4 linked regions of the Caenorhabditis elegans genome follow. The protein of the gene in region 4 purifies or fractionates together with the protein of the main gene of each other region. This does not show direct contact. Each region holds a gene or a part of one and is shown on either strand. Other genes may lie near its edges. The genes, in order: rsp-3, snr-7, sap-140 and ddx-15.

Region 1 (3,317 bases), 7.1 Mb from region 4:
TTTCTGTTTTCAATAATAATTTAAAAAAGTAAAAACACAAGTCAAAAATTCAAAATTTTTATTCGAAATTCCAAGTCGAAACTCACCTGGCTGATTCATTTTTGTGAGCCGGGAAGCGGGTCACCGGCTCACCTGAACATGGCGGATTAGTTTTTTCTCATATTCGAGGGGATTTTCCTAATAGATTTCGGGGTTTTCGAACCCAAAACTGTAAAATTTTTCCTTCTTTTTACTCTCGTCAGGTCAAAATTTAACTAAATTATGTTCCTAACAATACCCAGGGGGCAAATCCAAAACTTTTCCCATAAAATCCTTTTTCCGGGGGTCCTAGTGTGTGTGTGTGTGTGTGTGTGTCGATTCGAAAATCGTGTAAAAACCGATTCGATCCTCGATCGATATGGTGTGTCCCCGCTTTTGATCGTCCAGCGATCCTTTAGTTTCCCTCCTTATAGAGTCCTCCTCCTTTCCTCCAATAGTTTGAATGAAGCGGAGTGGAGGCTGAAACAAAACATTTTATTCGTGGTTCCTCCAACAAAAGAAATTATTGAATAATAATAGGTGGGGCTGATGAATACTTGGATGTGGTTGTTTGAATTAAGGATAGGTGATAAAAAATAGAAGAAATTGTGGATATATATATCCAAAAAGATCGATAAAAAGAAAAAGGTGTGTGTAAACAGGAGAACATGAGGCATGGAATTGTATTAGAAACAGCACAAAAAAAAAGAAATTAGCAAGATATAGTTGTATCAGAACTCTCTGTCAGACGACTCAAATTGCAAAACGATACCGTTTCAAGAATCAGACGCTGTCTCTTTATTGTGGAGATGGTGAGCGAGATGGACTGCGACTGGCCGAGCGAGAACGAGAGCGGGAACGGCTGCGAGAGCGGGAACGAGAACGACGAGGTGAGTACTTTGGCGAAGCACGACGTTCGGCTCTTGGAGAGCGCGAACGGCTACGATCACGGCCACCACCACCGCTTCCGCCTCCAGAAGAGTTGTCCTCACGAACGCGAATGTAGGCAGTTTCACCCTGAAAAAGAAAAATTTAATTCAATTTTTGATTTATTTTATAGTTTCAAAAATAGTAAAAACTCACCTCATGTGATCTGAACTTGGTGTCATCAAGCTTGCGAACAGCGTACTTGACATCCTCGTAACGAGTAAACTCGACGACTCCAGTTCCATCTCGAGCCACATCCGCATAGCAGACGTCTCCAGCATCACGCATATGATCCTTAAGATCCTGCCACGACCCGGTTGGTGGAAGACCTTCAACGATCACTCGGTATCCGGTTCTTCTCTGAGGTCCACCTCCACGACCACCACCACGTCCTCCTCGGAAGTCTCCACCGCGGTGATCACCTCCGTCTTGGAGTGGGCGACCGCCTGGGCCACGTGGTCCGACTCCACGAGTGAACTCGACGCGAATGCGACGGCCATCGAATTCGTAGCCATCGCGAGCACGAACCGCATCCTCGGCATCTCTGGAATAAAATTGATTAATTAAAGTATTTGAAATCAATAAACGAACCTGTGATCTTCGAACTCGACGAAAGCGAACGCCGGTCCACGTCCTGACTTGATATCGACGTACTTGATGCGGCCATACTTGTGGAAAATGTCCTCGACTTCCTTCTCTCGGACGTCTCCTGGCAGGTTGCCAACGTAGACTTTTTGGTCCTCTGAGCCGCCGCGTGGCATGTTTAGTACACTGAAAATGAAGAAATAATTATGATTATTTGCAAAAAATCGGCGACTGAAGATTATTGATAATAAAAAAAATACTGGGCCTAAAATCCTTCAAATTACTGCATTTACTTGACTGAAAAGAAACCCAGAATCGAGTAAAATTTAGAAAAATGAATATTCTCAAGCATTTCTTCGAAAAAATAATAAAAATTGTCTGAAAAAACAAGAAATGAGTGTGCCACGGCCTTCGTTTTCGAAAAAATAACGACCGCGACGCGACCGCAACGCGTCATATGAGCATTCTCCCGCCAAGTTTGAACGAGTTCGGTGGAGCGCGCCTGCGTTATTTTTAGTCACGTATTTTTTTATTTTTTGTGGTTTTCGGTTTTTTATTAGAAAATAAGAAAAAATAATAAATTTCAGAAATTCTAAATGCCAAATGAAATTGAGGAAGGCAGTGGTTTGGACGTTGGTGAGTTTTTAATCGAAAATTTAATTATTTAAATCGAAAAACTTGATTTTTTCAGCCTCCCGACTTGCTGGAAAGAAGAAATGGGTTACTTGTTCCATTCTGCTTCTCGTAAACCTGCTAAACTACATGGATCGATACACAATCGTGGGAGTTATGTCGCGGCTTGCAACATTTTTCGATATCGACGATAAGGGGCAAGGCCTTTTGCAAGTAAAAATTGAATAAAATTGTGGAATATTAATTAAAAACCGAATAATTTCAGACAGTTTTCATTGTGTTCTACATGTTTTTCGCGCCATTATTCGGATATTTGGGTGATCGATACAATCGAAAAATGCTAATGATCACTGGAATTTGCATATGGATTTTAGCAGTCTTTGCATCGTCTTTTTGTGGGGAAGGGGTAAGGGAAAAGGGAAAAAAACGATAATAGAAAGGAAATAATGTTGGAATAAATTACTAAGACAGTCTGAGCCCACTTCCAGTGGTAGATCAAAAGGCGGAGCCAAAAACGCGGGAAAATCGCGGTCTGGAGGTCAATGAGCCCGATGGGAAGGCTCTAGAGGTCAATCCAATAATGGAATAATGACACCGAGAAGAGAGAAGATAAAAAATGACGTTTATAACGCTTTTTTTGGCAATTTTTGCAAAAATCATGCGAAAAATGCTATTTTGTGGCAAATTTTCACTGGAAATACACAAATTCTGAATATTTTGCCGCGAAAATCGAATAAAAAGAGAAAAAAAAGAATATTTTTGTAAAAAAATTCCTATAAAAAGCGGAAAAATTACCAAAATTCTAAGATATTTTTTGGAATATCAAAAAAAAAAGTGCTTCAAAATTTTGAAGAAAAAAAATTTAAATCTGAGTTTTTTGGGGCAATTAATGCATTTTTCACCAAAAAAAGAACACAAATTTGGATTTTTGTGAAAAATATTCTTTAAAAAAGCGGAAAATGTCCAAAATTCTGAGAAAAAACTAAAAAAAAAAAAAAAAATTTTTTTGCAATTTTTTTGAAAAATCCCTCAAGTGAATAATGCGTTTTTTCTCCAAAAAATTGATTTTTGTGAAAAATATTCTTAAAAAAGCGGAAAATGTCCAAAAATCAGAAAAAATGGAGTTTTTTTTTCAATTTTTTTGAAAAATCCAA
Region 2 (2,506 bases), on a different chromosome or scaffold from region 4:
GGATTATAAGGTGAAATTATGGGAATTTATCGTATTTTTTCAAGATTTTGACCTAAAGGCGCACGGATTTTTAGCAAATTGCAGCGTTTTTTCTTACTTTCTGCTGAAAATTTGCGTTGTTTTCCTTTTTTTCGGTCTGAAAACTGAAAAATTTAACAAAAAAAACTACCACATGCTGTCTTTTCGCGTCGATGCACAGCTGAATAAACCCATGTGCCTTTAAGATCGCATAGCCGAAATTTCTGAATTCCTGCGCTTTTTTTGTGAAATTTTGTTAGATAATTGCCAGTTTTCGGGGAAAATTAGGTAGAAGATATAAATTATAGAGGAGATGTTAATTCTAAACCTTCCAAAAATCGATTTCGATCGGAATTTCTTCTTATTGACGGTTGTGTTGGCGAAAATCGGCGCCAGCGGATCCACGTAGTCGCTGTTCGGCGAGATATACGAGAAAACTGCCAGAGGCTGGCCATTCGTCGAGGTGCAGATGTAAAATCTGAAAATGTGGGTTAGTTCGCAACACGGAACGGTTAGTGTGGGGGATTTTAGAGGATTTTATGATGGTTGAACTCACCTATCTGCATGGGTAATGGTGCTTTTGAGCCTTCTCAGAAAACTGAACTGATTTGAAGAACAAGATGGTGATTCTGAGCGAAATTCTGTGAAAATTTTGAATTAATTTATTTTATTTCAAGTTTTGTAAGCTTTTATAAGCTCGCCAGCTCACCAATCAGCCCACTATCTTCTCTCCCGACGCCTTCTTCAAGAATCGGAGATCTACTGTTTGTGGCGGTCATTGAATAGATCACGTCGTCGGAGCTCATGATTTTCGCGATTCTTCGGAAGATTGAAGTTCTATAAATAGAGAAAATTAATTAATTATATTGATTTTCAACTAATTTTCACTTTTTCTGTGGTGTCTCCGCGTATTCCTGCGGCAAATTCGACGAGCTTAGCCGTTCTCCGAGTGAAGCGGATGTTCCGAGTGAGATCACTGATTCATTGTTGCGGATGGTGGTTGTGGAGCTTGCGCCGTTTGAAAACTTCTTTTCCGTTGGAGATATCTGAAAAAATTATCAATTAGTTACGAAAATCGCTGAAAAACCAAGATTCTCACCTTCGGAAGGCCTTTTGTTTGGAAAATTCGAAGATTTGTGTCATTGTGGCTTCCATCAACACTGATATTTGATAAGAAATTTTGTGCGACGAGAATATGATAGTTACTCTTCTTTTTTACCATCTAAAATTGGAAAAACGAAAAGAAAAAGCTCGGAAATCCGATAAGAATTGTGTGAGTACGGTGTGCAAGCGTCTGCAACTTGTCGTCATTTATGGTGTACCAAGCGTGGTGTTTGCGTACTATTCGAATTTCGAAAAATAATTTCGTCGATTTTAGCCTTTTTCATCCAATTTTCCTGATAATTATCATGTTTATTCTTTGAAAAATTAGTTAAAAAATGTTATAATTAATGTATTATCTGAATTTTCGATAGGTGGAAGTTGAAAAATGAGCTTTATTTTCTATTTTAAGTAAAATCTGTTTCTTTGATGATTTTTCCATTCTTCATTTTCATTTCCCCCTGCAAATTCTCAATTTTTCAGAAAAATGAGTAAGACACATCCACCAGAGCTCAAAAAGTACATGGACAAGGAGATGGACTTGAAGCTCAACGGAAACCGTCGCGTCTCTGGAATCCTCCGCGGTTTCGATCCATTCATGAACATGGTCATCGACGTATGTTTCTTTTTCCGTTTTTGTCTAATTTATTCTAAAATTTAATATTGCAGGAAGCTGTCGAGTACCAAAAGGACGGAGGATCCGTCAACCTCGGCATGACTGTCATTCGCGGAAACTCCGTCGTCATCATGGAGCCCAAGGAGAGAATCTCCTAGATTTTTCGATCTCCACAATTTCCTGTCACTTTCTCAATGTTTTCATTTTCAAATTTTGATATTAAATTTTTGAACCTTTTTTTTGATAATTTTTGATAACTACGTGGTCAAAACCCACTTCTCATCTCTGATTCACGTGAATTTCGTATAGATAAGAACTTCGCAAATAGAATCAATTCACAAACAAATGTACCAAAAGTTATGTTTTATTATTGCAGGCATAAAAAAAATCAATCGTAAAGCTTTTTTTCAGCATTTTGTTTTTCCACGGCTCAAATTGAACGAAATAGTGTTCATTTTGAAGAGAGGCACGAAACAGAGTAACAAAAACACGGAGAGACTTGTGTATCCCTCTTCTCTTTCCACTATGTGCGGTCGACGACGCTCTCCACATTTTTCTCTCTTTATTCTTCTCGTTACTCTTACTCGGCACAACAGCAGCAAAAAAGAATACTCTTTCCCCACTTCTTATCTCTTTTTCTGCCGACCTATTTTCTTCTTTCAAAACAGAAAAATGTTCCACACACACGCCTATCATCATCCGAAAGCTGTACGAGATGTGCTTTCTCATCTTTCCGTACTCTTGTGGCTGCAGCCGTCGAAGAGTTGAAAT
Region 3 (5,743 bases), 1.9 Mb from region 4:
TTATGCGAGACAACCGGTGTCTGTCTCGCGCTCGTATACACACGATCAATGACGGTTAGAAAAAGCAAGCGAGTGGTCGGCGGCGCATAGAGACGCACAGACACTCTTTGGGTTGCTGGAGTATCTAGCCAACAGGGTAGCCGATGTTTGACGACGTGGCAATTGACAAGAAACAATTTCAAAAGGTCAGAGAATCACGACAATTTTTTATTGATACCTTCCAGTTTTTAAGCGACTCTCCAAACAATAAACGCGAAAAAGTTTATATTTTACATTCGAAAGTTTGAAAGAACACTTTTTGTTATCGTTTTTTAAAACAGGTTTCTGAGCTACGAAACTGATAAAAATCTTCGGAAAACGACTGAATCTATCAAGAAAGTGTCGATAACAGATTGGAGCTGCCATCGTCGCCTAAAACTCTTAGAAATCTAGAGAAGAAACACAGAAACACGTGGAGAACAACGGCCAAAATGAAGGAAATGTGCGAAGAAACGAGAGTGTGGAGAGAAAAACTGTGAGAGCGACGGGACGAGTAGGCCAAGCTGCTGCGAGCGACGAGTGAGAGGCATTTCGCTGCGTACATTCAACACACAAAAGTTGAATACTCAGCCAACGCGCGAAACAAAATGGCGGTAATTCAAAATTAGATTTCAATGAAAAACTTTACGAAGATTTGATGCGAAATTTCTTGAGAATAATAATGAATTAAATATTAAAAAGAATATACCAGCGTCGATGAAAATTTATTAAAGGATAATTAGTTCTAAATGTAATGAGTAATGTGATTACTTTATCGTTTTTCGATTTCCTCATTTTTCTAATTCGAACTCCTCATATTCAACCAGAAATCTGTGATATGCGTCACATCTAGCTCCGTGATGGCAGTATACGATGAATATAAGAAACCGACACGGTTGGATAACACAATTGAAATACGCCAAATCCACAATAGGCAATATTTTCGAGCTGCCAACAAAATAAATTGTTCCGAAACAGGACACATCCACCACCATTTTTATAAACTGAAAATCTTAATTGAAAACAGGAGTCAAAAGAAACGTTACATTTGTGGTAATCGTAATAACATTGAGACGTTGGACTCCATTGTATGATATAAAATATATAACTATCAAAATGCTTGTTAGAAAAAATAACGAAAATTGAATGTAAACAAGTGACAGATACACGAACGACTCTGTCTTCATATCTGCAATTTTAGTTGTTATATTTTTCCACTTTTTATTTTCTTACAGAAATAAGCAGATCCAAGATAAACCGATTGGTACCAAGTTTGTAAAGCTTCTAGGCAAATCATGTTTATAGCAATAGGACTCCAAGATCCCTTAAAATTATTTATAAAGGCAGAAACATTACAGATAACAAACTTGATCGAGATTGAATAACGGCGGAGGAGATAGACTCATAATTCTTATATGCAAATTATTTAAAAATGGTTTGTTATTTTATTTATGAATTATATGATTTGAACGTTAAATGTTAATAATAATATGAAATTGCGTGTAACTCATGAATTGAAATTAATTACGTTATTATTTTGTTCTTTCTTTTTTCAAAAATAAAATGTTTCCTTACTTAAAAGTCGCGCCGAGATCCGAAAACACGCCAAAGTGGTTGCTGGCGCGTTTCATCATAATTGCTGACGCATTGTCAGTGCCTGGTCCATTTACTGGGAAAAATCTAACATTTTAAATTATTTCCCGGGAAATTTCCCCGCAATATGAGTATGGAATGGTCCAAAAAGAGAAAGAAAGTAAGTTTCCTTGTCAACTTCTAAGTGTCACAAGCTTTAATAATACCGATTTAAAAGTTTAGACATCTGACGATGAGGAGGCGAAGTTGAACGATGCTTTGTTGGAGTTCCAAGCAGACTTTGGACAATCTTCGTCTGTTTCTTCTCAGCCTAAAACTTTTCTGAGAGGAAATGTTGTCGAGGGAAATAAGATTTGTAAGAAAATCCATTTGAAAACTATATAAACTGAATTTTCAGCTGCTGGCGACGGTGGAATCTATGCACCAAAGTTTTCAATGAACATTCCGTCTAAAACTTCGAACGTTGGATCCAAAGATTTTGATGAAGCGAAAAAATTAGCAGCCGCGAAGGTAAAATTAATAAATTTCATGCGCTTAGTTCTTCACATTGTTTAAATTGGTAGAGATGTGTTCGTTTCTTAACGGATGTTTTTAGTGAAATAAGAAACACTATATTCAGGCTCGAAGGATGCTGGAAGACGTAGCACGAAGCAAAAAAATGACAGAAGTGCCGAAAGTTGTCGTGCCAACTACGAGGCCGTTTCAAAGACCCCCGAAGCCTGGCAGCTCGAAAGCGAAACAAGATAAGCCAAAGATCAGTCAAATGGAAATGTTTAAAATGGAATTGCAGAGGTATATTGCTAAAAAAGAATTTCGAAAGAATTATATCCGTAAAATTTCAGAGTTCAAGAAGATCGAGAAAAACGGAAAGATTTACGACATCATCTGGAAAAAGTTGGAATGGATCAAGCTGTAGTAGAGAGATTGGCTCCAACAGTTGAAAGAGGATTCCAGGGAACGTCGGAGTTTGACGATGACCCGTATACTACAAATGTATATGTCTCTAATATTCCACATTCAGTAACGGAAGACGATCTATTATTTACATTTGGTTCGTTCGGACCGTTAGCCGCACTGAAAATTTTGTATCCGAGAAGCGAAGAAGAGCGAAGACGGCCGCATATTTGCGCGTTTGTAGCATTTATGTCTCGTGCCGATGTGGATAGATTTATGGCTGAAGTTCGTGTAATCATCGTTCGGAATGAGCCAATTCGTTTCGCTTTTGCTCGTCCTGTCCAGATTCCTGCTATTCCTTACTACATTCCACCCGTACTTCATGCCCTTCAACATCCCGATCCAACTTCAAATTTACCCTTCAATGCACAACCGGATTGTGCTGATGCCAAAAAGTTTCTAGAAAAGTACAATACATTTCCACCGATGCATGCATTGCCAACAAAAGGACAATATGGGTATGAGGATTTCACAGAACTGATACGGAATTCACAAATTAGAGTTGTTGTCCCCCCGGACAGGAAGCTGGTCAGAGTAATGGATCGAATGGCCGTTTACGTTGTAACCGAAGGACCTCAGTTTGAAGCTATGATATGTGCAGAAGAGTTTCAAAATCCAATGTTCCAATTTCTTTGGGATAATACCAGTGCTCTTCACGTTTACTATCGATGGAGAATTTATTCGTTGCTTCAAGGAGACACTATTGAAGAATGGCGGCGCACTCCATTTCGAATGTTCGAAAATGGGTCATGGTGGATTCCACCGTATCCCATCAATGAGTTAAGAGATGCAATGCCAAAAGAACTGTATCATATGAATTGCCTTAGAACCTATCCGGATAAATGGATGAAAGTACGTGACGGAGGTCAACGAAGAGGAGGTGAGAGCTCAAAGAATCGTCGGAACTCGGATGCTGAAAAGGAAGAACGAAAAATGCGCAGGGAAGAGGAAAAAGAACGGAAACGAAGAGAGAAGAATGAGAAAAAGAGGAATAATCGAATGTCTGATAAACGACGTGATAAACTGGAGACATTGATTCGAGAGCTGACCCCTGAGAAGACGTCGATAGCCGCTACGATGGTTTGGTGTATACAAAATGCAAAATATGCAGCTGAGATTTGCGAGTGTGTATATGATAGTCTGACCATTGAGGATATCCCACTTTATAAGAAAATTTCGAGGTAATTGACTTTTCACTTTTAAAAAAGTCTGCAAAAACACACATGTAATTCGTTTAATTCGGGATTATATTTTTTATTTCAAAATTAACTCCAAAAATATGAAGCTAAGATTTTAATTGAGCGTTTATCTGCTCAACTTCAAGTTAACTTCCATAGTTGTGCTGATATAATATTTAATTAATTCAGGCTCTACCTCATCAACGACATTCTATCGAATTGTGTACAACGTAATGTTCGGGACGTTTTTCTCTATCGTTCTCACTTCGAAGCTCTTCTGGAGAAAATTTTCGTTGCTGTCGGGAAAGCATATCGGGCGATACCGTCTCGCATCAAACAAGAGCAATTCAAGCAGCGCGTGATGTGTGTTTTCCGAAATTTTGAGGAAATGGCTGTATATCCTACAGATAAACTGATTCATAATCAAAATGTATTCCTGGGACTCATTGAAATCGGAAAAGAAAAATCGGAAGAACGGGATAACCAAAAACTGGAAGAAGAAGAAGACGAAGAAGACTTAGATGGAGTACCTCTCGAAGAAGAAAAATCAGTTCAAAATATGAACGAGTCTCTTTACGATGATGATGGCATCGACGGTATACCATTACACGAAGAAGTAAAACCATCAACGTCTACTTATTCAACTGCAAGTAAATTCAAACCTGTTGAGGTTAGTTCAAGAATCACACCGTAATTATTGATGACTTTTTACATTAAGTTCCATTTTAGTTTAATTCTAAGAAATGCTACTAATAATTTTTCTGCTGTTACTACTCAATTAATTTCAGTCTCGAAAACGTGATGGCTCCCCTATATTTTCTTCAAAATGGGACCACGACGGCCGAAAGTCGAATGAAGAAGAGGATGAAGACATCGATGGAGTCATGATTACAGACGACACGACTTCAGAGAATCTACAACGAGATAGTCTTTCTCCAGGAGAAATCAAGGACAAAGAATCTTCATTTACCGTGCTCACACCTTCTGATGAAAAACGAAGAAAGTTGATACGAGACGTTGAAGTTCGTGCCATCGCCATGCTGGATGATTTAGAAGCTGACAGAGATCCTGATGCCAAGAGAAAAGTTGACGAGTTTAGAAGGTGTGAAATGGAAAAAGTCGAGAAAGCATTGCGAAGTGGAGAATCTAAAAAGAGTGATGAGAAAAGTGAAAGAAAGAGCGAAAAGAAAGAAAAGAAGCGTGATAAAGAGAGGAAAAGGTATGGAATACTAATTTATCGTGTTATCGTATCTTTTATTTTCAGAAGTCGTTCGCGTTCTCGTGACCGTGACAGAGATAGGAGCCGCCGTGATCGATCAAGGGATCGTTCCAGAGACCGAGATAGAGATCGTGACCGGGACAGACGGGACCGTGACAGAGACCGGGATCGGGATAGACGTTATCGTTGAATTGAATAACTTTCCTTTCATTGTTTTTTACAAAATTATCATTTTTCCACTAAATAATCTTTTCACATGTGTTGGCTGGTTGCATTTAAAAAACAAGATCTAATCTGCAGAGCTTCATTTCCCTTATCTATCTTCTTCTTCAAAAGAAGAAAAAACGGAAAGATTGTTGATGGGCGGTTGGCGGTAGTGATGACATTCATTTTTCTGCACAAAGTTTTTGACGTGTCTTTGAGAAATTGAAAATGAGGAGAAGAAAAGGGGTCGTGAGAGGTGGGTGCCCTCCATACTTTGTGTAATCCCCCGTAACGAATGAATGTTTCTTGAGAAGTTCGCAGTCAGAGAGGAGTTGAGTTTTTTGTCAATTTTCTTCCGTTCCGAGATGATCTCGGATAAGATCTTCGATGTTTTCAGTTTAGATATGATTTCGCTTTTTACATTAGTGCTGATCAACTTCTAAAATACACACATCTTTAGTTGTTTAATTTTCTACATGGTCACTGGAAAATGACCAAAAGTCATTCCCATCATTTCCGGATTTACTCTCTCCAAATCCATTCAACCATTAAATCAACTCTAGTCCACCTGGTTCGG
Region 4 (5,109 bases):
GAAGAAAGGAGACAAAGAGCTTCTTGTCAAAAGATGGAAGGATGGAGATGAAGCTGAGAAGGCTGAAATGTGCAGGCAATTTGGAGGAGAGAAGCGTGTCGAGGAGCTTGTGGAGCGGTTCCTCAATGAGGAATGGCTGGATTCGAACAGCAAACCGTGTCCCAAGTGCTCGGTGAGCATAGAGAAGAATGAAGGATGCCACAAGATGCACTGTACGAAGTGTGACACCTACTTCTGTTGGTTGTGCTCTGAAACTCTTGACAAGGAAGATCCTTATAAGCATTTTCAGGGAGATGTTGGTTTTTTCTTAGAATTGTGTAAGAAATGTATTTTTCATTTTCAGGGATCATGCTCTGGACGTCTGTTCGAAGGAGTTCATCACGATTTGCTAGATAACGATGACGATCTTCTTTTCGATATGGCATTTAACGACGGTAGTGACTATGACAGTGATGAGACCGTCGAGTATCCTGAATCCGACGAAGATATTGATGCGGAGGATTGGTTAGAGCAAGAAGGACATTTTGACGAGCTTTTCTTTAATTAACATAACTTTACGGTTTTCTCTAAATTTACGGATTAATTGTCAAATAAAATGAATAGTTCATCCTTTTAGATTTGGTGATTGATTTAAAAGTGAAAATAGAATTAAAAGAAAGGGGTAAGAAATAAACAAAAAATAAATAGAAACAATCAAAAAATTTGACAAGGGGCAATAGGGATAAAAGAGGTTTGGGGAAATGAGATCAGATGATTCGGAGGCATCAATAGCCTCTGCCAGCGTTTCTCTGCAGGGTCTGCATCACAGTAGTCAGCTTCCGTTTCGTGTCTCCATCTGGGAAGTTGTCGAGATCATAGTATTGAGGGGCGATTTGAAGTAGCCTGAAACGCATATCTAGTTAGGTTTTGAATAATATAATTTGCAAATTAACTCACCATTCAGGGCGCACATCAGTTACAGTTCTGATGAAGTTCTTTGTGGTTAACACGAACTCATTGTAGAGTGCCCACTCCGGCTTATGATCGAGAACTGTGGATGGATGAAGGTTGACGAGCTGATTATCTTTCACCGTCACGTAGTGTCCACTTCGTTCCAGATGAGCGACTTGCATGAAAAATCCAGCTACAAGAGCTTTCCTGATGTTGAGATAATAGTCTCGAGATTTGAAGTCTGTTGAGACACGTCGAAGATTGTACTTGTCCATAACACGCGACAATTGTGTGCGGACTGTGTCGGCAGTTTTCATAGTTCTGTAGTTGATGAAGTTATCGTAACACCACTGCGGATCTTCTTGATCTGAAATATGCGAAACTAATATTTGAAAAAAAGAAAAACAAAGTCAACTTACTCTGCTTGAACGAATGATAGACATTGAGAAGTGTGAGATGATCTCCATCAATATGTGCAAACCGAGCCTTCGCCTCATCGGCTTCTGTTCTCATTTCATTGGGACGAACCCAGCACTGCGGAACCGAGAGCATTGCTGTGATCGACAAAATTTCATTTGAGCAATTGAGTTCAGTGGATGTGATAAGCATCTTTGCGAGCTGAGGATCAAGCGGGAACTCAGCCATCAGACTTCCTAGTTCAGTGAGCTCTCCATCGTCGTTGATCGCCTGAAGATAGTTTAACAGTTCCAGCGCTCTCATCAATGTCTCTGGTGCGGGAGGATCCATGAAATCGAAGTGCACAAGATCTTCGGTTCCGAGCTTCTTGAGCTGCAGCACAACAGATCCGAGATTCGACCGAAGAATTTCAGGATATGTTTGATCTTGCATTTCTGATCCGTAAGCCGTTTCGGTGTAAAGCCGGAAACATTTTCCTGGCTTTGTTCTTCCGGCGCGTCCAGCTCTTTGCATAGCAGAAGCTTTCGAAATGGGACAAACAAGCAGCGACTCGACACGAATTCTTGGATTGTACACTTTTTGCTTCGAGAATCCAGGATCGATAACAAAGACAACGCCATCAATAGTCAATGATGTCTCAGCGATATTTGTAGAGATGACACACTTTCTGCTGATTGCTCCATTCGGTCGATTTGGTGGTGCTGGTTCGAAGATTCTCTGCTGTGCTGCTGGGGGAAGTGTAGAGTACAACGGAATGCAGCTGAGTGCTCCAGCATCTGCTCCCAAGGCTTGAATCTCACGATCTATTCTTTTGCAAGCTTCTTCGATCTCTTCTTGACCAGTGAGGAACAGTAAAATGTCACCTTCAACCTCCTCGACCATATGAATTTGGATTACAGTTCTGATCGCGGCTTCTAGATAATCTTTCTCCGCATTTGGAGTGAAGAAGATCTCAACAGGGAATGTTCTTCCGGGAACACTGAGCAACGGGCAATCCTCGAAATATCTTTGAAACTTTCCTGCATCCAATGTAGCGGACATGATTACGACCTTGATATCAGCTCGATTTCTCACGATTTCCTTGATCAGTCCCATAAGAATATCTGTGGCGAGTGTTCTTTCGTGAGCCTCGTCGAGAATAAGGACTTTGTACTTATCGAGGAGCGGGCTGTTCATTGCTTCTCGCAGCAACATACCGTCTGTACAGTATTTGAGAACAGTTCGTTCGCTGATGCAGTCTTCGAAACGAATACTGTATCCCACTTCTTGTCCCAAAACTACGTCCATTTCCTCAGCAACTCTTGTCGCAACGCTCATCGCAGCGACCCGTCTAGGCTGTGTGCAAGCCACCAATCTCGCTTGACCGGGTGGTTGTCCTTGTTGCTGCTGCTTCATGAACTCGACGGCCCACTGTGGGATTTGCGTGGTCTTTCCGGATCCCGTTTCTCCGACAAGAGTGATGCACTGGTTGTTCCGGAGCAGCTCCATAAACTTTTCCTTATATTCCCATACTGGCAATTGACTTCTTTTCTCCCAAATTGCCCAATATCGGTTACTAAATGGCTGGTTGTTGTATGGATTGATTTGGATCTGTAAATTTGGAGATGAGAAACAAAAATTCGTTTACTAAAAAATACCTTCATATTTCCAACTGCCCCAATCTGTCTTTTCCGGTCGGGGGAGGAGCGTCTGTGTGGCGATCGGGAGCGGGATCGGGATCTGCGGTTAGGAGATCTGAAAATAAATTATTATTATTATATTGAACTGGGGAAGCAACAATTTTACTTACCTTCTTCTGTCTCCGCGTCCGCTGCCATCTAAATCCAATCGGTGTCTCGAAGACATCGCAAGTTTCTCCTTCAATAGGAAAATTAGAGTTTCAAGTGGCTTTATAAAGCGTTATACGAAAATATTAGGTATTTCGAAAAGCTACGCGCAGGATAAATGGATTAAATGTATGACAAATTAAGAAAACTAGTTGAAAAAGGAGAAAATCAGCAAATATAGAGATATTGGGAACAAAAGACAGAATTTCGCAGAATATATTCGGAATAAGTATGGAGCGATTTACGGGTGCGCCTTTAAACTTTCGGTGGGTCTCGAAGCGATTCCGCTGTCTGCGTCTCTGCACTGCTGGGCGGCTTGATGGTTTTAGTTGTTTTCAGCTTCTTTTCGAGTTTCAGATATATTTTTTCAAGTTTTTCAATTTAAAATAATGTTCTCTGAATTTTTATCTATCGATTAATATCCTATTTATATATTTTTATTTTCAGAGAACAGGGGAAAACTTGAGAGAATGGCTCTCAGACTCGCCGTCAGCTCTGCTTTGCGTCCGGCTCTCAATAGCCAGGTAATTTTCTTGTGAGATTGCTAAAAGAGAAATAAAAACTCTTAATTGAAAATAAAATTGAAAGTTGTATGCCCACAGGTCGCATGGAGAACGTAACAACGATGATAATGTAGAAAATCTAATTAAATTAATTAATTTTCAGGTTCGCAATGCTTCATCAGCTGTCTCCGTGAAGGACGTGCTTGCCAGCGCTCCACAAGCTGAAGTTACCACCTTGAAGAATGGCTTCCGTGTTGTCACCGAAGATAATGGATCCGCCACCGCTACCGTAATTTTGCCCACTAGTTTTCTAAAATTTCTTTTGTTTTAAATTGTAGGTGGGAGTCTGGATCGAGACCGGATCTCGTTTTGAGAACGAGAAGAACAACGGTGTCGCACATTTCCTCGAGCGATTGATCCACAAGGGAACTGGAAAGAGAGCATCTGCTGCTCTCGAATCCGAGCTTAATGCTATCGGAGCAAAACTCAACTCGTTCACTGAGCGTGACCAAACCGCAGTTTTTGTCCAAGCTGGAGCTCAAGATGTTGAGAAAGGTAAATATTTGTAACTTATAAAATTGTGTTAATTTTCCAAAATTTTCAGTTGTCGATATCCTCGCCGATGTTCTCCGCAACAGCAAGCTTGAGGCCTCAACCATCGATACCGAAAGAGTTAATCTTCTCAAAGAGCTCGAAGCTTCCGATGACTATCATCAGCTTGTCCTCTTCGATATGCTCCACGCTGCCGGATTCCAAGGCACCCCACTCGCTCTCAGCGTTCTCGGAACCAGTGAGAGCATTCCAGTAAGTATTTATTTGGGTTTACATAAAGTTGATTATTTTTTCAGAATATCTCTGCTCAACAATTGAAGGAGTGGCAAGAGGATCATTACAGACCAGTGCGCATGGTTCTGTCCGCTGTCGGAGGAGGAGTTTCCAATGTTTCAAGCCTCGCCGATAAATATTTCGGAGACTTGAGCAACGAATACCCACGAAAGGTTCCACAGGTCGATGGAACACGATTCACCGGATCTGAATACAGATACCGCAACGATAATGTCCCACACATGTATGCTGCTTTCGCTGTTGAGGTACAAATAATAAATGTGTGTTCAGTCTTTCATTTTACTTCATTTTTAGGGTGTTGGATATGCCCACAAAGATGCTCTCGCTCTTCAAATTGCCAATCAATTCATTGGTAAGTTGGCTTTTGTGTGAATTTTTCAATTCAAACCGTAATTTTGATGAGTTTTAGGCCAATGGGATGTGACCCACGCTACATCCAGAACAGCTGCTTCCAGACTTGTCCAAAAAATCGGACACGACCACGGAGTCCATAACCTCCAGCATTTCAACATCAACTACAAGTAAGTATCTTTTTTTGCAAGCTTATTTAAATTTTTATTTTCTTTTTTTCAGAGACACTGGATTGT

Evidence for each region.
Region 1: the proteins of ddx-15 (region 4) and rsp-3 fractionate together in Caenorhabditis elegans (co-fractionation; one large-scale study listed by BioGRID). This does not show direct contact.
Region 2: the proteins of ddx-15 (region 4) and snr-7 fractionate together in Caenorhabditis elegans (co-fractionation; one large-scale study listed by BioGRID). This does not show direct contact.
Region 3: the proteins of ddx-15 (region 4) and sap-140 fractionate together in Caenorhabditis elegans (co-fractionation; one large-scale study listed by BioGRID). This does not show direct contact.

The regions. Positions count from the first base shown.
Region 1 is NC_003281.10:12,686,201-12,689,517, forward strand, and holds rsp-3 (putative splicing factor, arginine/serine-rich 3), read right to left. Parts: upstream 1,717-3,317; 5' UTR 1,707-1,716; coding exon 1,537-1,706; intron 1,490-1,536; coding exon 1,102-1,489; intron 1,036-1,101; coding exon 817-1,035; 3' UTR 501-816; downstream 1-500. Other genes in the region: spin-4 (Major facilitator superfamily (MFS) profile domain-containing protein), read left to right, coding at 2,127-2,166, 2,222-2,376, 2,429-2,569. UniProt on the Caenorhabditis elegans protein: Plays an essential role in embryogenesis.
Region 2 is NC_003279.8:2,725,412-2,727,917, forward strand, and holds snr-7 (putative small nuclear ribonucleoprotein G), read left to right. Parts: upstream 1-1,602; 5' UTR 1,603-1,606; coding exon 1,607-1,735; intron 1,736-1,788; coding exon 1,789-1,893; 3' UTR 1,894-1,971; downstream 1,972-2,506. Other genes in the region: Y71F9B.6 (Cyclin N-terminal domain-containing protein), read right to left, coding at 347-496, 575-659, 728-855, 907-1,064, 1,118-1,240. UniProt on the Caenorhabditis elegans protein: Plays a role in pre-mRNA splicing as a core component of the spliceosomal U1, U2, U4 and U5 small nuclear ribonucleoproteins (snRNPs), the building blocks of the spliceosome.
Region 3 is NC_003281.10:7,498,024-7,503,766, forward strand, and holds sap-140 (U2 snRNP-associated SURP motif-containing protein), read left to right. Parts: upstream 1-1,653; 5' UTR 1,654-1,738; coding exon 1,739-1,771; intron 1,772-1,833; coding exon 1,834-1,966; intron 1,967-2,008; coding exon 2,009-2,121; intron 2,122-2,230; coding exon 2,231-2,403; intron 2,404-2,453; coding exon 2,454-3,746; intron 3,747-3,932; coding exon 3,933-4,413; intron 4,414-4,531; coding exon 4,532-4,962; intron 4,963-5,007; coding exon 5,008-5,152; 3' UTR 5,153-5,218; downstream 5,219-5,743. Other genes in the region: C07H6.9 (Serpentine Receptor, class Z), read right to left, coding at 810-1,022, 1,065-1,207, 1,252-1,342, 1,386-1,424.
Region 4 is NC_003281.10:5,588,515-5,593,623, forward strand, and holds ddx-15 (Pre-mRNA-splicing factor ATP-dependent RNA helicase ddx-15), read right to left. Parts: upstream 3,205-5,109; 5' UTR 3,193-3,204; coding exon 3,137-3,192; intron 3,082-3,136; coding exon 2,985-3,081; intron 2,938-2,984; coding exon 1,350-2,937; intron 1,298-1,349; coding exon 937-1,297; intron 896-936; coding exon of another isoform or gene 895-895; exon of another isoform or gene 883-894; coding exon 765-882; 3' UTR 548-764; downstream 1-547. Other genes in the region: F56D2.2 (RBR-type E3 ubiquitin transferase), read left to right, coding at 1-295, 344-547; ucr-1 (Cytochrome b-c1 complex subunit 1, mitochondrial), read left to right, coding at 3,644-3,697, 3,840-3,965, 4,015-4,231, 4,281-4,480, 4,525-4,767, 4,817-4,874, 4,926-5,043, 5,096-5,109. UniProt on the Caenorhabditis elegans protein: Pre-mRNA processing factor involved in disassembly of spliceosomes after the release of mature mRNA.